Linked DNA regions of Xenopus tropicalis. Each later gene encodes a partner of the first gene's protein in a complex. Links are inferred from orthologs where the notes say so. Each region holds a gene or a part of one and is shown on either strand. Other genes may lie near its edges. The genes, in order: aagab and ap1s3.

The links.
Region 2: the proteins of aagab (region 1) and ap1s3 are in contact, whole or in part, in a crystal structure (PDB 9DDT), measured with the Homo sapiens proteins. The link is inferred for Xenopus tropicalis from reciprocal best matches to the Homo sapiens genes AAGAB and AP1S3. Residues at the interface, in NP_078942.3 of Homo sapiens: Asn51, Lys52, Tyr53, Tyr54, Glu108, Val109, Met110, Ile111, Gln128, Ile132, Gly135, Phe136, Glu137, Asp151, Phe153, Pro154, Glu155, Arg161, Gln164, Ala165, Asn167, Ala168, Asn169, Val170, Met176; in NP_001034658.1 of Homo sapiens: Arg10, Gln11, Lys13, Arg15, Gln37, Leu40, Ser41, Arg61, Tyr62, Ala63, Ser64, His85, Val88, Asp92, Phe95, Val98, Glu100, Leu101, Asp102, Ile104, Phe105, Asn106.

Annotation. Positions count from the first base shown.
Region 1 is NC_030679.2:117,439,616-117,444,212, forward strand, and holds the start of aagab (alpha- and gamma-adaptin-binding protein p34), read right to left. Parts: upstream 3,070-4,597; 5' UTR 3,027-3,069; coding exon 2,957-3,026; intron 1-2,956. Other genes in the region: iqch (IQ domain-containing protein H), read left to right, coding at 3,240-3,290. UniProt on the Homo sapiens protein: May be involved in endocytic recycling of growth factor receptors such as EGFR.
Region 2 is NC_030681.2:125,309,808-125,314,229, reverse strand, and holds the start of ap1s3 (AP-1 complex subunit sigma-3), read left to right. Parts: upstream 1-1,608; 5' UTR 1,609-1,670; coding exon 1,671-1,673; intron 1,674-4,422. UniProt on the Homo sapiens protein: Subunit of clathrin-associated adaptor protein complex 1 that plays a role in protein sorting in the late-Golgi/trans-Golgi network (TGN) and/or endosomes.

The DNA.
Region 1 (4,597 bases):
CTTGAACCAACACATGTATTTTTTAGCTGTAATATTGGTGTGTAGGCGCCATCTCAGTGCATTGTGTCCGAGTCAGAGCTTTCAGAAGGAGCCAGCACTACACATTAGAACTGCTTTCTCCTTCTCCCATGTAACTGGAGGAGTCCCAAGCTGGACTTGGATTTCTTACTATTGAGTGATATTCTGATACCTACCTATCTTGCTCCCTTCCCATTGTTCTGCCGATCGGCTGCTGGGAAGGGGGTGATATTACACCAACAGCGCAGCTCACATAGCACCCTGGGAAATTAATAATATGGCTAGCCCCATGTGAAATTTCAAAATTAAAAATAATGCAAGATTCTGCTGGAGAAGCTCTATTAACTGATGTGGTTTGTTTTTTTTTAAAAAAAAAAAACAACATGTTTTCCCATGACAGTATTCCTTTAAAAACTAGCTCAGCCTGCCTCCCCTATGTACAGTGATCTTGGTTGTAATGACTTCAGAACCAGCTGAGGGAGGAGCCAGCTGAAGTTTCATTCATTACTCTGTGTATGCACAGAAATCTGAGCATTTCTACAAATGTGACCTACAAAATCTATGGTTTACATCAGCAAAGATTCATATGTTTAATGCCCTTGCCCAATGAGCAAATCTGCCCACTTATGTCCAGTTGCACTCTTAAAGGAGAAGGAAAGTCATTTTGGCATTTTACTGCCAATAGATTTGCCACATAAGTGCCACCAAGAACACTATATTTATTCTGCAGAAAGCATTGCCATACCTGAGTAAGGAGCCCTAGAAACTCTCTCCATTTGCTTAAGATAGCAGCTGCCATTTTAAATAGCTTCCTGTTTGCACTCTAGCAGTCTTTGCAGTCTAGCTCAGATCACACATTCCTAAGGGAGGGATTTCTTAGCATTCTTGTGGGAGGGGGCGCAGAAGAGGGGAGAGAGGAGAGAACTGCGCAGACTCTGGCCCAGGGAATTAAGGATTTTTCTGAGAGAGGAAGTCAGACACCCTAAGAACATGTTTACAAAAAAGGAGACATGGAACAATGTGTTTCTTTTGACAGAGAACTCAGTGCAGCATTTCTGTGAGTGCTTATGGCTGTATTTACAGAGACATTTCTGATAAAGCTTACTTCATTTTTACCTTTCCCTCTCCTTTAATGGCTATTGAACAGAATCAATCATAAAAATGGAACTTGGTGTGAATTTTTTTCCACTGCAACAGACAGCTCCATACATAGAACACAGCATACCTGTATCCGTCCAGAACATGTTGGTGCATATTTTTCCTGATACATTCAGGTCCTATGAGCCTATGCTTAAGTGCCCCCTAAGGCACAGTGGGTGTCGTTTATCAACACTGGGCAAATTTGCCCATGGACAGTAACCCATGCCAAGAAATCAAATTGTTGCATGGTTACTGCCCACAGGCAAATTTGCCCAGCTTTTATAAATGACCCCCAGTGTGTATTCACAGTATTATGGTTACCGCCACTTTAAAGGGAAACTAAAAACTGCTGCACTGGACTTTAAGTACAAATTCTAAAATAATGCAACATATTATTAAGATTAAATGATGCTGGGAACTGTAGTCCAACAACATCAGGGTTGTATTCTAAAGCTTTAAAGGCTTTGAAAGCCTGGGAAGGTAGGTGTACACTATGCCGACTGAATGTCAGCTTTTCAGGCACTCTCCCATGAGCAGCGTCATTTCCTGCAAGTAATGATCAGTTCTATGGCATCACTATTTCTAAAGTATGTAGAAACTTGATTAAGTACTCTCTGTTTTGGTTTTCTCTATATCCCCCTTTTTATTATTATATGTGTCCTTCACTCTAAGGCTAATGTCTTTCTAACTCATCTCTAGGTACCATCCAACCCGCTTGTTACGCTCCTACATACCTGCTCCTCAACTCCTCTCTCATTCCCTCCTCACACGCTCGCATTCAAGACTTTGCAAGAGCTGCCCCCCTTCTCTGGAATTCGCTCCCACAAACTGTCAGACTTTCTCCCAATCTCTCTGCCTTCAAGAGATCTCTAAAAACACATTTAATCAGAGAAGCTTACCCTAATCTAGTTTAGCAATACCCTGTGCCCCACCTCTCACAACTCTGTCATGCCCATTCCCACACCTTGTGTCTCAACCTTTTCTCCTTGTAGATTGTAAGCTCTTTTGGGCAGGGCTCTCTTCACCTCTTGTATTGGTTATTGATTGCTTTATATGTTACTCTGTATGTCCAATGTATGAAACCCACTTATTGTACAGCGCTGCGGAATATGTTGGCGCTTTATAAATAAATGTTAATAATAATAATATTTAATTTGACTTAGTTACCATAACCAGCATGATCTAGTGTATTCCCTGCAAACCTTGAGACCTAATAATGTAACATATAAGAACAATGATCTGACTGACAGATTAGTAAAAGCTCCTCTTCCATAATACTGGGAACATGGGCAAGGGCCAGTGCAATGGGGCTTGTTACATGCACTAGAGTTGTGCAGAGACCTCACACATCTCCCTCTGTAACAAAGGAACAGTTTATTTCTGGGCCTCTGTAATACTAATATAAGCTAAAAGATGGCCCCGGCCCTTTACATGGCAGAAAGATGGGCAAGCAATGTCCCTTACGTTGCTGTGGGTTGCTGGATGCTGGGAGTTCGCACCTGGGCAGCCTGATGGCGATTCCTGCTTATAGCAAGGCACCAGTGCACCTGTTTGCAATAGCTAAGGCCACACACTCATGCAGTGTATGTGGGCATATTATTAGCTGTATGTTTATCTGCTAGTAGTCCCACATAAAGCCAGGGATAGGGACTGGTACTAGGGTAGTGCTCCCACAAACAAATATCATATGATACTGATGCCCGTTCCTACCCAGTGCCCTAGCCCTATGGTGCCTTCTTCCCCGCTAAACCCCTTCCATTCATTCCATGCACACAGTTCCCTTTATCCCAGCGCTTACGTGCCACCAGCTCTTCCTCGCTGAATCCAGGAGCGCAGCTCGTCAGCAGCACACAGGGAAGGGAAGCCATCTCTGCTCCCCCACAGCTTCCGCCCTTCACTTTGCCCCACTTCCCAGCGGCTGCCTTCCGACTTCCACCACACAACTGTTTTACTTCCGCCAGTCATCTCAGAACGAGGAGGAGCCTAGTTCCTTCCTGCCTTCTTTTTTCATTGGTATAGAGCGGAGCGCGTCTCGTTGTCATGGTAACCCAAGTTGGCTCTGACTTCTTGGGAAAGAAAGCATGGCTGGAACATCCCGGGGTCCTGACCCTGTGGGCCGCCTCCTGGTGCAGGTAAGGGACCGTAGGCTTATTCCCCCGGAATCTTTATTTAAGACAAGGACGTAGATAAATGTGTGCTATTGACGTTTGGCATTGCTGTGGGATACTTTCATTAATGATAAGATCACTCTGCGCATGCTCTGTAAATAGCCTCATAGTATAATACAGTGTTGGGCAATGTTTCCTGCTGCACCTTAAGCACATTAGTAGTGTTACTACAGCAGCTTACTGCCTCACCCACAGTGTTACCCCAATGCTATTCCTTCTAACTCTTGCACCTAAGGATGTATGTATGTATGTATGTATGTATGTATGTATGAATAACTGTATTTATAAAGCACTACAAGGATACGCAGCACTGTACAATCTTACAATATACACACAGGGAGGACAAGTGTTATAATAAATACAATAAATATATATACATTTACAGAGATGGTATGAGACAGAATAGGAAGGAGGTCATATATGAGGATATACAATCACTCATGGGTTCCCTCATCTCCCCATTTAGCATTATCTCATATAGTTATAGTCCCTCACAGGCAGTAAAAATGTTGCTCTAATATGTTGTGGTGGGAAAAAATGGCACCAGAAAATTGTGCATACGATACACCTATGATAATATGCACCCGGCAGGCATTTGTGTGCCCCATTTGTGAGTAATTTCCCAAGTGCAAAAAAAAAAATTTGCAGGAGCAATTTGCTAACTGTAATCTGGTCACTGGCACCATGGGCACCTTGCAAAAATTAGGAACAAAAACTTTGTATACAGCATTTTTGTGCCAAGTATTATGAATGTTTTTACTAAATAAGCCCTGTAATTTTCATTTTCTTTTCTTTTCCCTTTGTGGTTTACATTTTAGGCTCCTCTGGGGCCCGTGAGCAAAGTCAACACCTCCCTGCTGTGTGGGGCAGATATTTAGCTGCTTAAAGTACACTTACTTTGCTCTGAGCCCTACAGGGCTATGGATTCCCAGCATTTAATGTATGTTTAGTACTTATTGGTCCAAATTGGTGTCACAACATGTGTTTATAAATTGATAACAGCCAGATAGTATTTTTAGTGACTGAATGAAAAGAGACAGCATGGGAAGGCCAATAATTTTCTAACCCTTAAAAAATAAAAATGAAGAGCATTTTTTGCTTACATTAGGCCCATCTATTCTATATTTAAAAATTTAAAAGATTTTTTTTTTTTTTTTTTTAGAATTCTTTATTTTTGCATTTTCAAGTATGGGGAAGGGATACAGAAGGTAAAAGGGGGGAGGGTAGGGAGGGGAACATTGCACATGTTGATTTTACATTTCTTTACATAT
Region 2 (4,422 bases), on another chromosome or scaffold:
AATTTGTAGGTGACTGTTCAAATCTAATTGCTGAATGGCTGCTATGGGTAACATCACCGGTGTTGTTGGCTCACATGCTATAATAAATATGCCCCTTTCTGTCCATCCTCCAAGTCAGCCAAGCATCCCAAAGAGATGTTGAGAGAGGCAATTTGCTGTCCAGACAGATCGCAACAAGAAATAGAAAAGTAAACCATCCAACAATCTGTGTATACATTCAGCACCCCATGTACCTGAGACAGATACTAGCCTTTATATGGCCAAACATGATGACTAAGCTGCATAAGTCTGTTTTTTAAGAGCTAGAAGCGGAAAGCCCTTGAATTGTATACAAAGGCAGCAGTGTGGTTGCGGGAGTGCTCTGTGTGGGGTGGGGGGCTAAGAAATAAAGCAGAAGGTTCCCTTTCGTTTGACTGGCCTTGCTTATCAGGTGTGTCTGCCTAGCTGGAATTGTGAGATTTGAAGTTTCAGTGGCTTGTTTGTTTTGATTCAACCTAGAGCTGCAAAAGTAGAAGGTCCCCTTTAGGCTAATATTCCACAGAGCGAGTTAGTCACCTGCAACTGATCTCTGATTTCTGCTATTGCGGGCGACTACTATTTTGTAGCTGTAAGAAGCCCACAGTAGCAGAGATCTATCAGGGGCAATTACTCGCTCCATGGGACATTAGCCTTAAAAGCATTTACCCACTGACATTCAGATACATTTTGCCAGACCACACTGTATATATCAGTTATAGATTATTTATGAATAAATGATACTCTTTACGTGCCATGAACTGGATGAGCATACACAGCAGGTAGGCCTCCTTTTTGATTAGTTACAGCCTTTCAAATATTAAGGTATGTTAAGATGGCTTTACTCTTCTTTTTTAATATCCCTTGTAGACCTTAATGGTGGTGGTCCAGATCTGTCCCAGAAGAAACTAAACAGGGCCAGACACTCACCTATATATTTTGCTATGGGATTATAAGGTAAACACCAGCACTCTTCTTAAACAGCACCTAGCAGTAGAAATTTGTTCCCCCACCAGTTCTCCTGTGGGAGAGTAATTGTCCACCAATAGGTGCCCTTTAATTCATACACATTTCTAATGCTCAGGGGACTGCTGATTTGTTTTGATTGTGTACATAAATACAATAAATAGAACGTGATTTTAGTTTCAGCGTCTGATTATTTCCTATTTTGTGCCAGAAATAAAACAATAAGCAGAGAGCATATTCGCCACAAGCCCTATGCTGAAGCTTGTATTGCCCCTGAGGCTCGAATAATCCCAGAGCACAAAGCCATTCTCCCCACAGTACCGGCTAGCACTATACTTCCCCTGCACACGTTGTATCTGTAGTACCAGTGCACACAGCTTGGGGGCAGCAGAGTCGACGCACAACACTCAGGTTGGCAATGGCGAGGTATCTCTCCCCCATCACTGTCATATTTGGTTGCACGGGGTGTACCTTGGTGGGCGGTGCGTCACTATTTTTGCAAGTAATTGGCTCGCAGTTGTATTGGGGTGGGGCTTCCCATGCCCAGGTACGCTTGTGGAAATACCTAGTGGGTGGGGCCTCGTCTTTACAGCAGGTACGTGGGTGGGCGGGGCAGTTGCGGTGGAGTGGCCGCTCCAGCCTCACCTGTGCCAGTGTCACCTGTCGCTTCCCTTTCCGCCGGAACAGAAATGGTAAGGGGGGAGCGAGAGGGGAGTGGGGCTAGAGGGAACGCAGTAGAACCGGGGAATAGTTCCTAGCGTTTATGTGTTTGGGGGGGACATTGGTTTGGCTCTGTATGGGTGAGAATCATGTGACTCCTGCACCTGTCGCTTGCTAATCTGATCAATAAACCGGGAGCCAAGGGCAGAGTGCTCTTTCCTTAGTAGTATTAGTCAGGTAATGAGGTAACTTGCCCAAGCAAGCCTTGCCCTTTAAACATACAGGGATTGGCAGATTATACTAAACTATAACTCCCATCAACAGCAATCTAAAGGGTTAAATGGGGATGTTAATTAGTGCCATTCCTGTATAGGAAAGCTAGTGGTTTATTGTACCTGGCTATCTTTGTACCTCAGATTGATGGGCAGTGTTATTGGTGAATGATTTAGGGGGTATGTGGGGAGAGCACTCCCTGCTAGATGGAAAATACTTTGAGGTCAATTCAAGCAGATTGAAATGCAACTTTATTTATAAACAGCTCTTTCTTTGGACTCCAAAAGGCTAGGGAAGTGCATTTCTTCCAGCTGATAAAGAAACTACAAACTGAACCAAACGTACCTGAAAAACTGCATTGTCAGCTTGTTATCAGGTTGGTGCTCCTGTTAGGGTAAACTGCAGTGCAAACGAGCGTTCCTCTTCCTTCTCTCATCATACATACATACATACATCTAGCTTCAGAATCCCGAGGCTGTGACAAAGCTGACTTTTTTGTTAAGGTTTGGCTTTTCACTCTACTGCGTGTGCACAAGCGGTGTGAGGGAAGAGTATCGCTCTCGCAACTAACCTGGGATGGTGCGCTTTTCTCCTAGCAGGAGCACCACCCAGCAATTACACACTGTGTGGTGCCTAACATTGTGGCACCCCCCCCCCCCCAGTGATTGTACCTTTCCTTCTCCTTTTAAGGGGTTGTTCACCTTTAAGTTATGATGTTGAGTATGATGTAGAGAGTGCTGTTCTGAGACAATTGTAATTGGTCTTCCTTTTTAATTATTTGCAGTCTTTGAATTTAGCCAGGCTCAGACTGGGGGGTGCCCCCGTCGACATTGTCCCCTGCACTCCCTAGGGGCCCTCGCTGAGCCTCCCTAACCCCCCGCCCGACGTCCTTCACTGAGCACACTTAAGTTTAACGTGTCGGGAGGAAAACCGTCGGCAAGAGTCGCTCTGGGCCACTGGGGCCCACCGGGTGTTTTCCTGGTGTCCCGGCGGCCCAGTCCGACCCTGAATTTAGCTTTTTGTTCAGCAGCTCTCCAGTTTGGAATTTCAGCCGGTATCTGGTTGTTAGGGTCCAATTTAACCTGGCAAACTAGGCAGTGGTTTGACAGACTGGGATATGGGCCTGAATAGAAATATAATAAAAAGTCACTAAAAAAGGCTTTTACTGACGAGCGGTTTTATCTGTGCTTCCCTGCTGTGGCGTTCACACATAGGTCACGGTAACGTTTTCAGAAAATGAAATTTTGCTACAGATTATTTTTTAAATGAATTAGGGTACCATTATTGGTTACCCTGACAGGAACACATGTAACCTCACCTAGAGACTAATACAAAACAGAAGCCTTTAGTGGCATAAGTGTTATTAAAATTTTGCTTGGTTATATACATCAGTTACAGTTAAATGAGATATCTTCCATAAATCCCACACATGGTATATTTTCTTGCAATAACCCTTTCCCTGACAATGATATAAAATCTGCATCACTGTCAAGGAAGTTACATTTTTGCAGCAGTGCAGATTCTACATTTTTGCATTGCTTGAAAATGGATGGAAAATGCTTGCCTATTACATGGTTCTAAAGAAGACAACTGTTTTGGAAGGAAAATCTTCTTAACAGTAGTCACCTGGCTGTACTGTCAGCATACATTATTAAAGAATTATATGTACAAAACATATATATTCATCCTCAGTTTTGCAATGGAGACCAGTTCCACAGAATTTCCGAAGTATCCGTTTGCCTTGAGTGAAATGAGTACTTTTAGCATATACAAATATGTATTAAGAGTATTCACTCCTTTTCATCCATGTGCTGTTTATAGCTAGCTGAGTTGGAACACTGGGATGATTTTGGTATCTTTGGGGGCTAATTCATTAACATACGTGCAACAGAGCAATTTTTATTTTGTTTGTTTTAACTGCACAAATCCAATTGCAGCTTATTGCTGATTGGTCTCTGTGGAATACTGGCAGGGCCTTAAGAAACAATTTCTGCAATTTATGTGTCAGCCCCCTCCCCCAAGTGTTGTGCCATCAGTTGTATTTGAACAAAAAAAGCCCACACCAGTTTTATGAGCTAACCTGTTGTACACCATCCCAGAACCCCTGCATAAGGTTACAGATATATAACAGTAAGCAATCCCCCCCCCCCCCCCGTATCTCACCCTAAGCTAGGCCCTTGACTCATGACAGGGTTATCATATGGATACATAGGATATTGGTGTAACAGACACTCTGCTGTATTTCCAGGGGTATCCAGGGAATCAAGTAAGAATTTGCCCCAAACCTCAGCATACTATACCCTTAGATTGGGTTTAAATACTTCTGGAAATATAGCAGGTTGACAGTTACACTTTTATGTACAACTTACCTTTTTCCCCTTGTACTTGTCTCATTTCCTCCCTTGTCTCCACCCATATAACATTCTCTTCTCTTTTTACATTCATTCCATCTTTTGTTCATGTTTATAGTCACCCTTTTATGTATCCTCTCTCTTCCTTGAGCACCAC